2 separate regions of the Mus musculus genome follow, and region 2 is reported to be linked to region 1. Evidence: microRNA targets listed by miRTarBase, many of them from high-throughput screens and not tested one by one. Region 1 holds a microRNA gene; the other region holds the end of a gene's coding sequence.
What was found. Region 1 holds the annotated microRNA mmu-miR-7054-5p (UAGGAAGGUGGUUGGGCUGAGUACU, at 1,587-1,611, shown strand). A microRNA usually pairs through its seed, bases 2 to 8, with sites in the 3' UTR of a target mRNA and lowers its output. Matches are read on the target gene's strand: a 7mer-m8 pairs with bases 2 to 8, a 7mer-A1 pairs with bases 2 to 7 and ends in A, and an 8mer does both.

Region 2: miRTarBase lists Trim44 as a target of mmu-miR-7054-5p. Seed matches in the 3' UTR shown: 7mer-m8 at 3,814-3,820.

The regions. Positions count from the first base shown.
Region 1 is chr7:45,009,679-45,014,068 of GRCm38, reverse strand. Mir7054 (microRNA 7054) reads left to right here and starts at 1,582; the gene lies at 1,582-1,643. It overlaps Scaf1 (SR-related CTD-associated factor 1), which reads left to right. Exons shown (of 11, transcript NM_001008422.1): 2 at 476-589; 3 at 795-852; 4 at 1,274-1,371; 5 at 1,644-1,744; 6 at 1,831-1,946. The coding sequence starts at 482.
Region 2 is chr2:102,300,722-102,305,111 of GRCm38, reverse strand. It overlaps Trim44 (tripartite motif-containing 44), which reads left to right. Exons shown (of 5, transcript NM_020267.2): 5 at 608-4,390. The coding sequence ends at 635. Among named protein-coding and RNA genes, the nearest start is that of Gm34268, 56 kb to the right of the region's middle.

The sequences.
Region 1 (4,390 bases):
CCTCATCATGGAGGATAATGAATGCTGTGTGAACCTACGGTACCTGTTACAGAGTACCCCTGAGCATGTCGGCACATTCCCCGCTGTGGGGAAGGTGGCTTTCTGAGACTGAAGCACGACGCTCTTAAAATCATGACACCCGAAGTCAGGGTTGAGTTTGCATCTATTTGACTGGGTTGGGTAATTAATTGGAGGTTTGCCTAGGAGCATTGGGAAGCTGTGGGCAGTGGAGGGCCAGGTGTTGGAGCAGGTGGCTGAGCGGTCCTCCCATTGATGGGGAGGCAGCCGAAATCCAGAAGAAGGATAAGAATGGCTCTAGTCCCTGCAGGTCAGCGTGGGACCACGGACAAGGTCATCAGGAATGAGGCGGAAGAGAGGGACACTAAAGCAGGATGCACTGGGGGCCCTTGAGGTCTTCCTTCACCTCTGACCTGCCTCCCTCAGCCTTCACTTCAAACTGTTGCCTCAACCCCAGGTGACCATGGAGGAGGAAGATGAGTCTCGAGGTAAAACAGAGGAGTCGGGAGAGGATCGGGGAGACGGTCCACCTGACAGAGATCCTGCCCTTTCTCCTTCTGCCTTTATTTTGGTAAGAAAGCTGGGTGCAGTGAGGCCTGGAGGCCTAGGTTCTCATGCTCTGAAGTATGGGCTGGGGGTTCAGGCCCTGAACCAGGCCTTCAGGAAGAATTGGGGTTCTTTGTGGACTCTGGCTGCCGGGTGCCTGGAATGTGCTTTCCAAACAGCAGAAGTTAGAGAGGTCTTGGCCCTGATTTTTGTTTTTTCCCCTTTTGCAGCGGGCCATTCAGCAGGCTGTGGGAAGCTCCCTTCAGGGAGACCTGCCTAATGATAAAGGTATGAGGCCCACTCGTCCTCTTAGGCTTCTGCCTTCCTCTGGGCTCTTATCTTTCTTCTTTCTGAGGTGTCCTGGGTGCTTCTCTTGTGCTAGCGTCATCAGTGTCCAGGGTACTGGGTTTGTCTAGAGGAAGGCCTAGTTGGCAGGGAACCCAGTGTGGCTTTTGGGCTGACTAGAGGTGATCAGGGTAGTAGGTCACTTGGGAGGCAGGAGACATTTAGCCAGGACTGGGCAGGGTTCACAGGCCAAGCAGAGACATGCCCTTTGGTGAGCCCATCCCAGATTGAGTTGGGGGAGCCCAGGGTGCTGCAGAAACTGGGAGGTGGCAGGTGCTCCCTCAGCAAACGCTACGTCTTGACCTGCTTCCTGTGCTTTGCAAAGCCCAACATGGAATCCCAGCTTACTTCAATGTCTATCCAGATGGCGCTCGGTGTCGTGGCCTACGATGGAGGCGCTGCTGCCGGAGTCCTCGGTCAGAGCCTCGTTCACAGGAGTCAGGGGCTGCTGACACGGCCACTGTGAGTAAGAGTGTCCACCAGCCTTCACCCTGGGGCCTGCAAGACAGAGGAACTGGGGATCTAAACTGCTGGGTCTGGTGTGACTCTGGTGGGCAGTGACAGGAGTCTGGGGACCAGATCCCTGACTAAGCTGGCTCCTAGAGACCAGTGAGATAAGGTTGGTTGGATTCCAGAAGGTTCTTGTGGCAGATTGGTGGGTCCTGAGAGGCTGGAACTAGGAAGGTGGTTGGGCTGAGTACTCACAGAACAGAGTCCAACTTGGCCCCTTCCAGGTATTGGACACAGCTGCAGATAGCTTCCTTGTGGAGCTGGTGAGCATCCTGGATCCCCCGGACACCTGGGTTCCCAGCCGCCTGGACCTTCAGCCTGGCGAGTAAGAACCTGGACAGCTGAAGGTGGGGTGACCCTATCCTGAGAGCTATGGCACTGCTAGGGCTCACCATTTCCTCTGCCTTGCAGAAGTGAGGACATGCTAGAGCTGGTGGCTGAGGTCCGCATCGGTGACAGGGACCCCATGCCTCTACCTGTGCCCAGCCTGTTTCCCCGCCTCAGGGCCTGGAGGACAGGAAAGACAGGTATGTTGGCCTGCACTGTGTTGGGTGGGTGGTCTTGAAATTGTGTGAAAGTCAACTGTATTTAGGTATTAATGTATGATGCTGGGTACTGGACTTTGGGGACCTCACATATGTTCAGCAGGCATTCTGCCACCAAGCTAAGCTGCTAGCATCACTTACGCTGTTTGTAGTGAAGGTAGGAAGGATGCTTATATTAGTTACAAATTAGTTCATACACTCGTAGAGCAAAAGGGAGGGGGCACATAGGAGCATCGAGCATGCTGGCCAGCAGCTGTCAGAGTGGACTTGCGTGTCTTTGAGTTGGGGAGTCATCTCTTAGGAGGCGGCTCCTCGCTAGCTCCATTGGTGAGCCTGGTGCCCAGCTTGAGTCTGAGTGGAAAGGCAGGCGTTTGGTTCTGGGCACATGAGCTGGCCATCTAGCTGAAGCTCCCAGGACACCCAGCGTCAGCTCTGACTCGACGCCCCAACACGTTAACCTCCCTCTCTGCATGTCTTTAGAAGTGGAGTGGAGGGAAGGGCTTGTGTACAGTTAGTCTTTGGCAGCCATCAGTCCCAGTGCCTGGAAGAACATGGCTTGTGACTCCACTGAGGCAGGCCACAGTCACATTGTCCCTTCTCAGTTGTGAGTTGGGCTCAGAGGACATGGTACCCAACTTCCATGACCTACCTTGAGGCTGACTGGAGGAACTATGAGTGTATCCTTGACTGTGCATCTCAGATAACTGGTAGGCTGAAGAGGAACTGTGGATCCTCTCCCTAAGTTCAAGACTAATGTGGGCCGGGCGGTGGTGGCGCACGCCTTTAATCCCAGCACTTGGGAGGCAGAGGCAGGCGGATTTCTGAGTTCGAGGCCAGCCTGGTCTACAGAGTGAGTTCCATGACAGCCAGGGCTACACAGAGAAACCCTGTCTCGGAAAAAAAAAAAAAAAAAAAAAAAAAAAAAGACTAATGTGGGCAACACCAGGAGAGCCTGACTCCAAAAACCAACCCACAAGGTAGCAGAGGATAAATGTTCCAATAGAACCTGTGCACACAGACAAATGGCCAGTCATTCTCATGGGACTCTGAAATTACGGTGTGGTTTTGTTGGTGACTTTTTTTTTTTTTTTTTTTTTTTGAGGCAGGGTCTTGTCCTGTTGCCTAGACTGGCCTGGAACTTGGGACAGTCCTGCGTTGCCCTTCCTTGTGCTGAGATTACAGACTTGACCACCACCCTTTGTGGTGATATTTTAAAGACAAGCTTGGGAACAGAGAGTGGCATTGCTTAGGCTGTCGCTGTGCCTCCCTGACACTTAGCACTGTGGTTTTGTCTTGCTCAGGGTTTTTCTTAGTTTCTAAACTGAACTGACAAGGCCGTTGTGTGATTGGGGTTTTTTGTTGTTATTGTTTGTTTTTAAATTACATTTGTGGCTGGACAAATAGGTCAGCTTTCAGGAGTTTGTTTTCCTCTGCCAAGTGGGTCCCAGGGATCTAAGTCGGGTCTTTAGATTTGGTGACAGCTGCCTTTATTCACTGTGACATCTTGTTGCTGGCCCTTTCCTCCTATCTCTCTATGTGTGTGTGTGTCTGGCATTGAACGTGGGGCCTCACACCTAGAGCCACTGAGCTACATCCTTAGTCCGTTTTGTTTTTGAGAGATGGATCTTGCTTTGTAGCTCACTCTAGCCTTAAAACTCCTGGTCTTCCTCCCATGTATGCTGGAATGCCCACCTCAGCATTTCTGTTTGTTTGTCTTTTTCAAGACAGTGTTTCTCTTTGTAGCCCTGGCTGTCATGGAACTCATTGTAGACAAGACTGGCCTTGTACTTACAGAGATCTGCCTGCCTCTGCCTCTTTGGTTCGAGATTAAAGGCGTGCGCCACCACACTCGGCTTGCTTGTTTGTTTTTTAGTTTTTGTTTGTTTTGTTTTGGAAGATATTAAGAGCACAGGAAAAGGAACACGGTGATCGCTCATGACCTTCCTCTGTACCAGAGTCACATGTCACCCTGTGCTTCCAGACTCTAGTGTGTCCTGGGTTGAAATAAGAAAGGAGCAGGAGTGGGGAGTTGGTCATGGGTGCCCTCTGGGCTCTGGGTGTGAACCCTGTCCTCAGGACCAGTGAGCTCCCTGAAGGGTGTGAACCCTGGGTGTGAACCCTGTCCTCAGGATGAGTGAGCTCCCTGAAGGGTGTGAACCCTGGGTGTGAACCCTGTCTTCAGGATGAGTGAGCTCCCTGAAGGGTGTGAACCCTGGGTGTGAACCCTGTCCTCAGGACGAGTGAGCTCCCTGAAGGGTGTGAACCCTGGGTGTGAACCCTGTCCTCAGGACGAGTGAGCTCCCTGAAGGCAGGGCTTGCTGTTCTGATACCACTGCAGCTGAGCCTGACATAAAACAGGTAAACATGAATTTAGGAAATGAGCAGACAGTGATTTTATAGAAGGAATCTGAAGTCAGCAGGTTGAG
Region 2 (4,390 bases), not on the chromosome of region 1:
TATACTTCAGGAGAAGGGGGATGAGAATAAGATCCAAACTATAGAATTCAATAAGAGCAAAGAAGGAAGGAAGGTACACAGAGAATGACCCAGTGACCTGTTGAGGTAGAGCACTTCCTAGAGACTGACTACAGCGTGGATGAGACCTTGGCTCTGCCCAAGGCAAAGTGCAATTGATTGATTGCTGCTGATGCTGCTGATGATTGGTTTTCTGATCTAATAATAGATGTCTTAACACCTAGAGGAAATAAAACTGGTTTCTACCAGCAGTTTATTTTGTTAATTAAAATTTTAAAATTCAGTCTGACAATCTTCCTGCTCTTTTACTTACTGGTTGTATACTGGGCATTGTGTATTTTACACGTGTTCTTAATTGATTCTCCCAGAACCCAAGATAGTAAGTCCTTTTTTTTTTTTTTTTTTTTTTTTTGTAAATTTTCATGACAACGGTAGTTAAATTTAGAAATCAGAAATCAAAGCAACTAAGACACTTTGCTGTGGGCCTACTGCTCAGTCATGATAGAAGCAGCACAAAGCTGTCAACCTGTACTGCGTTGCCTCCTTTCTGTGACGTTTGAACTCACTTGCTTCTCCTTTTCCTTTGTAGCGGTGCCAGTGAAGAAGAGGACACATGAAGACTTAGCATTCCCTGCAGAAAACGCCCCTTCCCCGTGTGTGTGTGACAGCGTGTATGTAATGGCTTCTGATATCTGTGAAAGCTGCCAGGCAACAAACTTCTTCTACTGGAAATGTCCCCAGATCCACAGCAGGCACACATGTTCCCAAGGGACCAGGGGTTGTATGCATTCTGACTGTGTGCTTCTTGTTCTCTGTGGTAGGTCATGGGAAGAGCCCTTTTGATCAACTTGGAGGGCTCTTCAGCTAACCCCCCAATGGCTGCTTTGAACTTACTCAGGAAAGCCAGCCCCTGGAATATTGTGCAAGTCAACACTATCACTTCCTTAGGAAGGTTCTAGAACATCTCGAAAGGATATCAGTTTTCCTTACCTGCAAACAGAAAACAAACCCACTTTGTTTGTACTGAAGCTTAAAGCAAATGTGGCCAAGTGGGGCCAAACTGACTCAATAGGCAGTCTGTCATAGTCCAGTTCTGCCTCTGTGAAAAGTGTTAGGGCAACTGGGTTAAAATAGGGTTGGAGAAAGAGTCCAGAGCTAGAAAGAAGATATTTTTAGTATGTGAGGTTATCTAGGACTTAAGTTTCATAATTCAGTGCTGTGGAAATGGGAAAATGATTGAAAAGGTAGAAAGGAAATGACCTTAAGGACTGGGGTGAGGCACAGAAATCTGATTAAAGGTTGAAATCAGTGTTTCAGAATTCAGATTGCCTCAATTTTCCAAAATGGTCACTAAAGCATCTGATAAAACCCAGAATTCTTCGGCCAGCTGTGTGGATTAACAGGCCTGTCACAACATAAAAGGCTGGCATGTATATTGGCAGGTGGAGATTGTCACTGTAAAACTTAGCAGTTTCACTCCGAGGTTAGTCTATGGTGGTCAGTGCACTGTGAGGGGAATCCTTGTCCCTCCCTGGCAGCTAGCAAACATTCCTCTATTTACTATAATTGGAATCCTCCCTTCCCCTGCAGCAGGCCGTCAGCTCACCTCACACAGCCCAGTTTTCTCTTCATGTAGCATGTCCAGGCATGCTCCAGAGCTGGGTTTCCTGGCCTTCCCACACTCCCAGATCACAGTCTCTTACAACCATGCTTTTCAGGATCCAGGAAGTAGTAAGTGTGCTGGGAGATACCCAACTAACTGCAAGCTCACAAGCACCACATCTTCTTGAGACATCAGTTTTTCTTTCCAAATGATTTGAAGTCAAGAGATGACCATATTTTTTAATGGAACAAATGCTTATGTTATACAAGAGAATGTTCATACACCTAAAGTGCTAAACTAAAATAGGAAACTTGGAAGGAAACTCATATTTGTAAGTGGACAGTGATTCTATCTCCTCTGCTTGTGTGGTATTTCCATGTTCACTTTGAGATTTTGTCTGAACTGGATTCAGGCAGCCTTGGGGTTGCTGTTGATCAAGGTCTAGACTTCCAGATCCAAGGAGTCCACCTTGGAGTAGTACATCTCCCTTTTCCTGTCAGCCAGCTTGCCTGTGTACTTATCACAAAGCTTTAGGGGCAGCTAACATGTGTATGTACAGGATAGTTCTGAGGCAGAAACAGCATAGACTTATTGTAGGAGTCCTATTTATGTCATTGTTCAGCCCTGTGCATGCTAGAAAATGATTTATCCCTTTGAGGCCAGGAAACTGCCAAGCCACTCTGCTGTAGGCTAGGATTACTGAAACTCACCACACATACAAGGATATTGGGGCAGAGCGGAGTGTGAGATCTAAAAATATGTATACTTTCCCCAGCTGGTGGCTAGTAGATGGCTTAGACAATTTTGGTGTCTTACCATCTGTCTGCAAAGACTGGAGAATTTAATACATCTTGAGTTGACAACCTCCAGTGATATCCTGTTCTGCCAAAATTTTAAAAGAAGGGCCACTGTAGAAAGAGTGTAAACTATCACAAGATTGAAAAGACTTGACAGTTTGGAAGCTTGTCTTGTCTTTCTCAGTAATCATTGATCTTTACATGTTGACCTTATATTAGCAATGAACAGATCATTGCCTCTCCACCCAATCATGCTATTTCTTTAAATCAGTATTTGGGGAATGCAAGCATTTATGCAGTGGTTATAAACAGAAATATAAGATTTGCCAACCTGTCTCTTTAAATTACCATCTCTCTGAAATCCTCAAGGAAAGCATTTTCCCTTTACTTAGTAAGGGTTTCAGATTCACTTTATGGGCTCCTGCTGTCTTCAACACTGATAAAACTTTAACCAGAAAAGCATTAAACACAGCACAGCAGCCCCTAGCCCAGATCCCTAAGTTCCTAGTGGCAGCATTTATCAATGTAAGAACAAGAATACTTTCTGTACTGGTATCAGCTTCGTCCTCAAAGCTATGACCTCTTACTTGGCCTTGTGCCCCATAGTGAACGAAGCTTCTTGCCTTTCCAGGTCAGTGTGAGTTAAGATTGTCAGAGTTGTATGTGTCCTGACAGACTGTGGACAGCAGGGTTTGCCCAAATCATCAAGTGATACAGGTAATGAATGTCTCTAAAATAAGTTGGGTCCTCCAAACAAGTCCTGGATACCTTCTGAATGTTAAGTTTCTGAGTGCTGAGAGTAATTTGTTCATTGGTTTGGTTTGATACCGTTATATCTATCTAGGGCAGTTCCAAGAAGTGCTTGACTTCTCAGCTCTAACAGCCAGTAAGAGTAAGTAACCTTAGTACAGGCAATGAGCCTCTGTAGATGTGCAGAGGACAAGTCACTTGTCTGTAGTTGCTAACAAACAATGGAACCAGTTTTGAGCACAGCACTCCCTGCTCTGCAGTCAGCCCTCTGCCCCACACCATGACTCACCTACAGATTGAGAGAGAGAAAGGCTTTCAGTTCCCCCAGTGTAGTATGCCCATTCACACTCGGAATTCTTTTTCAAAGACATCAAGATGGCCTTAGTACTCTGCTCTAGTAGATGTTGTAAGTATTCATTGTTCCTTCCAGGAGCTGGATTTTTGGTACAGTCCCCACAAAGGAAAATAAAGGCCTTCAAGAGTGTAAAGTTTTTAGACAGAGTTGGAGGTAATGGTAGTCTTCTAACATTATCTAAATATCTCCTGCTTCATTACTATAGAAAGCAACTCTTCATGTTTTAGGAAACCCAGCTACCATGTTTGTACTCTGAGAAGGTGCCAATACAAATCACTAATTTTGGACTCCCTTCCTGGAGTGTGTGTGTGTGTGTGTGTGTGTGTGTGTGTGTGTGTGTGTGTGTGTGTGTGTGTAAATGAGAATGAGATTTGTACACACCCACATATTCTATACCACTTAATTAAGAGTTAAGTGAAGTTCAAAGCAGCCCCTGGTGATCTTACTTAACACCACAAAGTTTTCTACTAGGTCCATGAAAGTATAAACAGATAATTGGAGTGTGACTGCTGGCTTTCCAGAATAACCCACTTGTGGTAGATGTCAACTCTTACAGCTCCAAGCCAAGGTGACGACAACCCAGCCCTCTTCCACCATGTCTAATAACATGGGACATGGTAGATGCCTTGTCATTTGGTGACCTGGATCTGGGCCCGAGTTTAGAGCTGCAGAATTTATAACCTTGTAGTAGTCAGTGGTCTAAGAAGTCCTCTCTCCCCACAGAGAAAATGTCTTGCTGATTCCTGATATTCTACTCTCATAAGCTGTTCAGTACACACTTCTCAGTCAATTGGTTGCTTGTTTACTATGTGCTGAGCACATCTAGATTTTTTGTTTGTTTAAAGTTAAAAGTCCCATTATAAATCA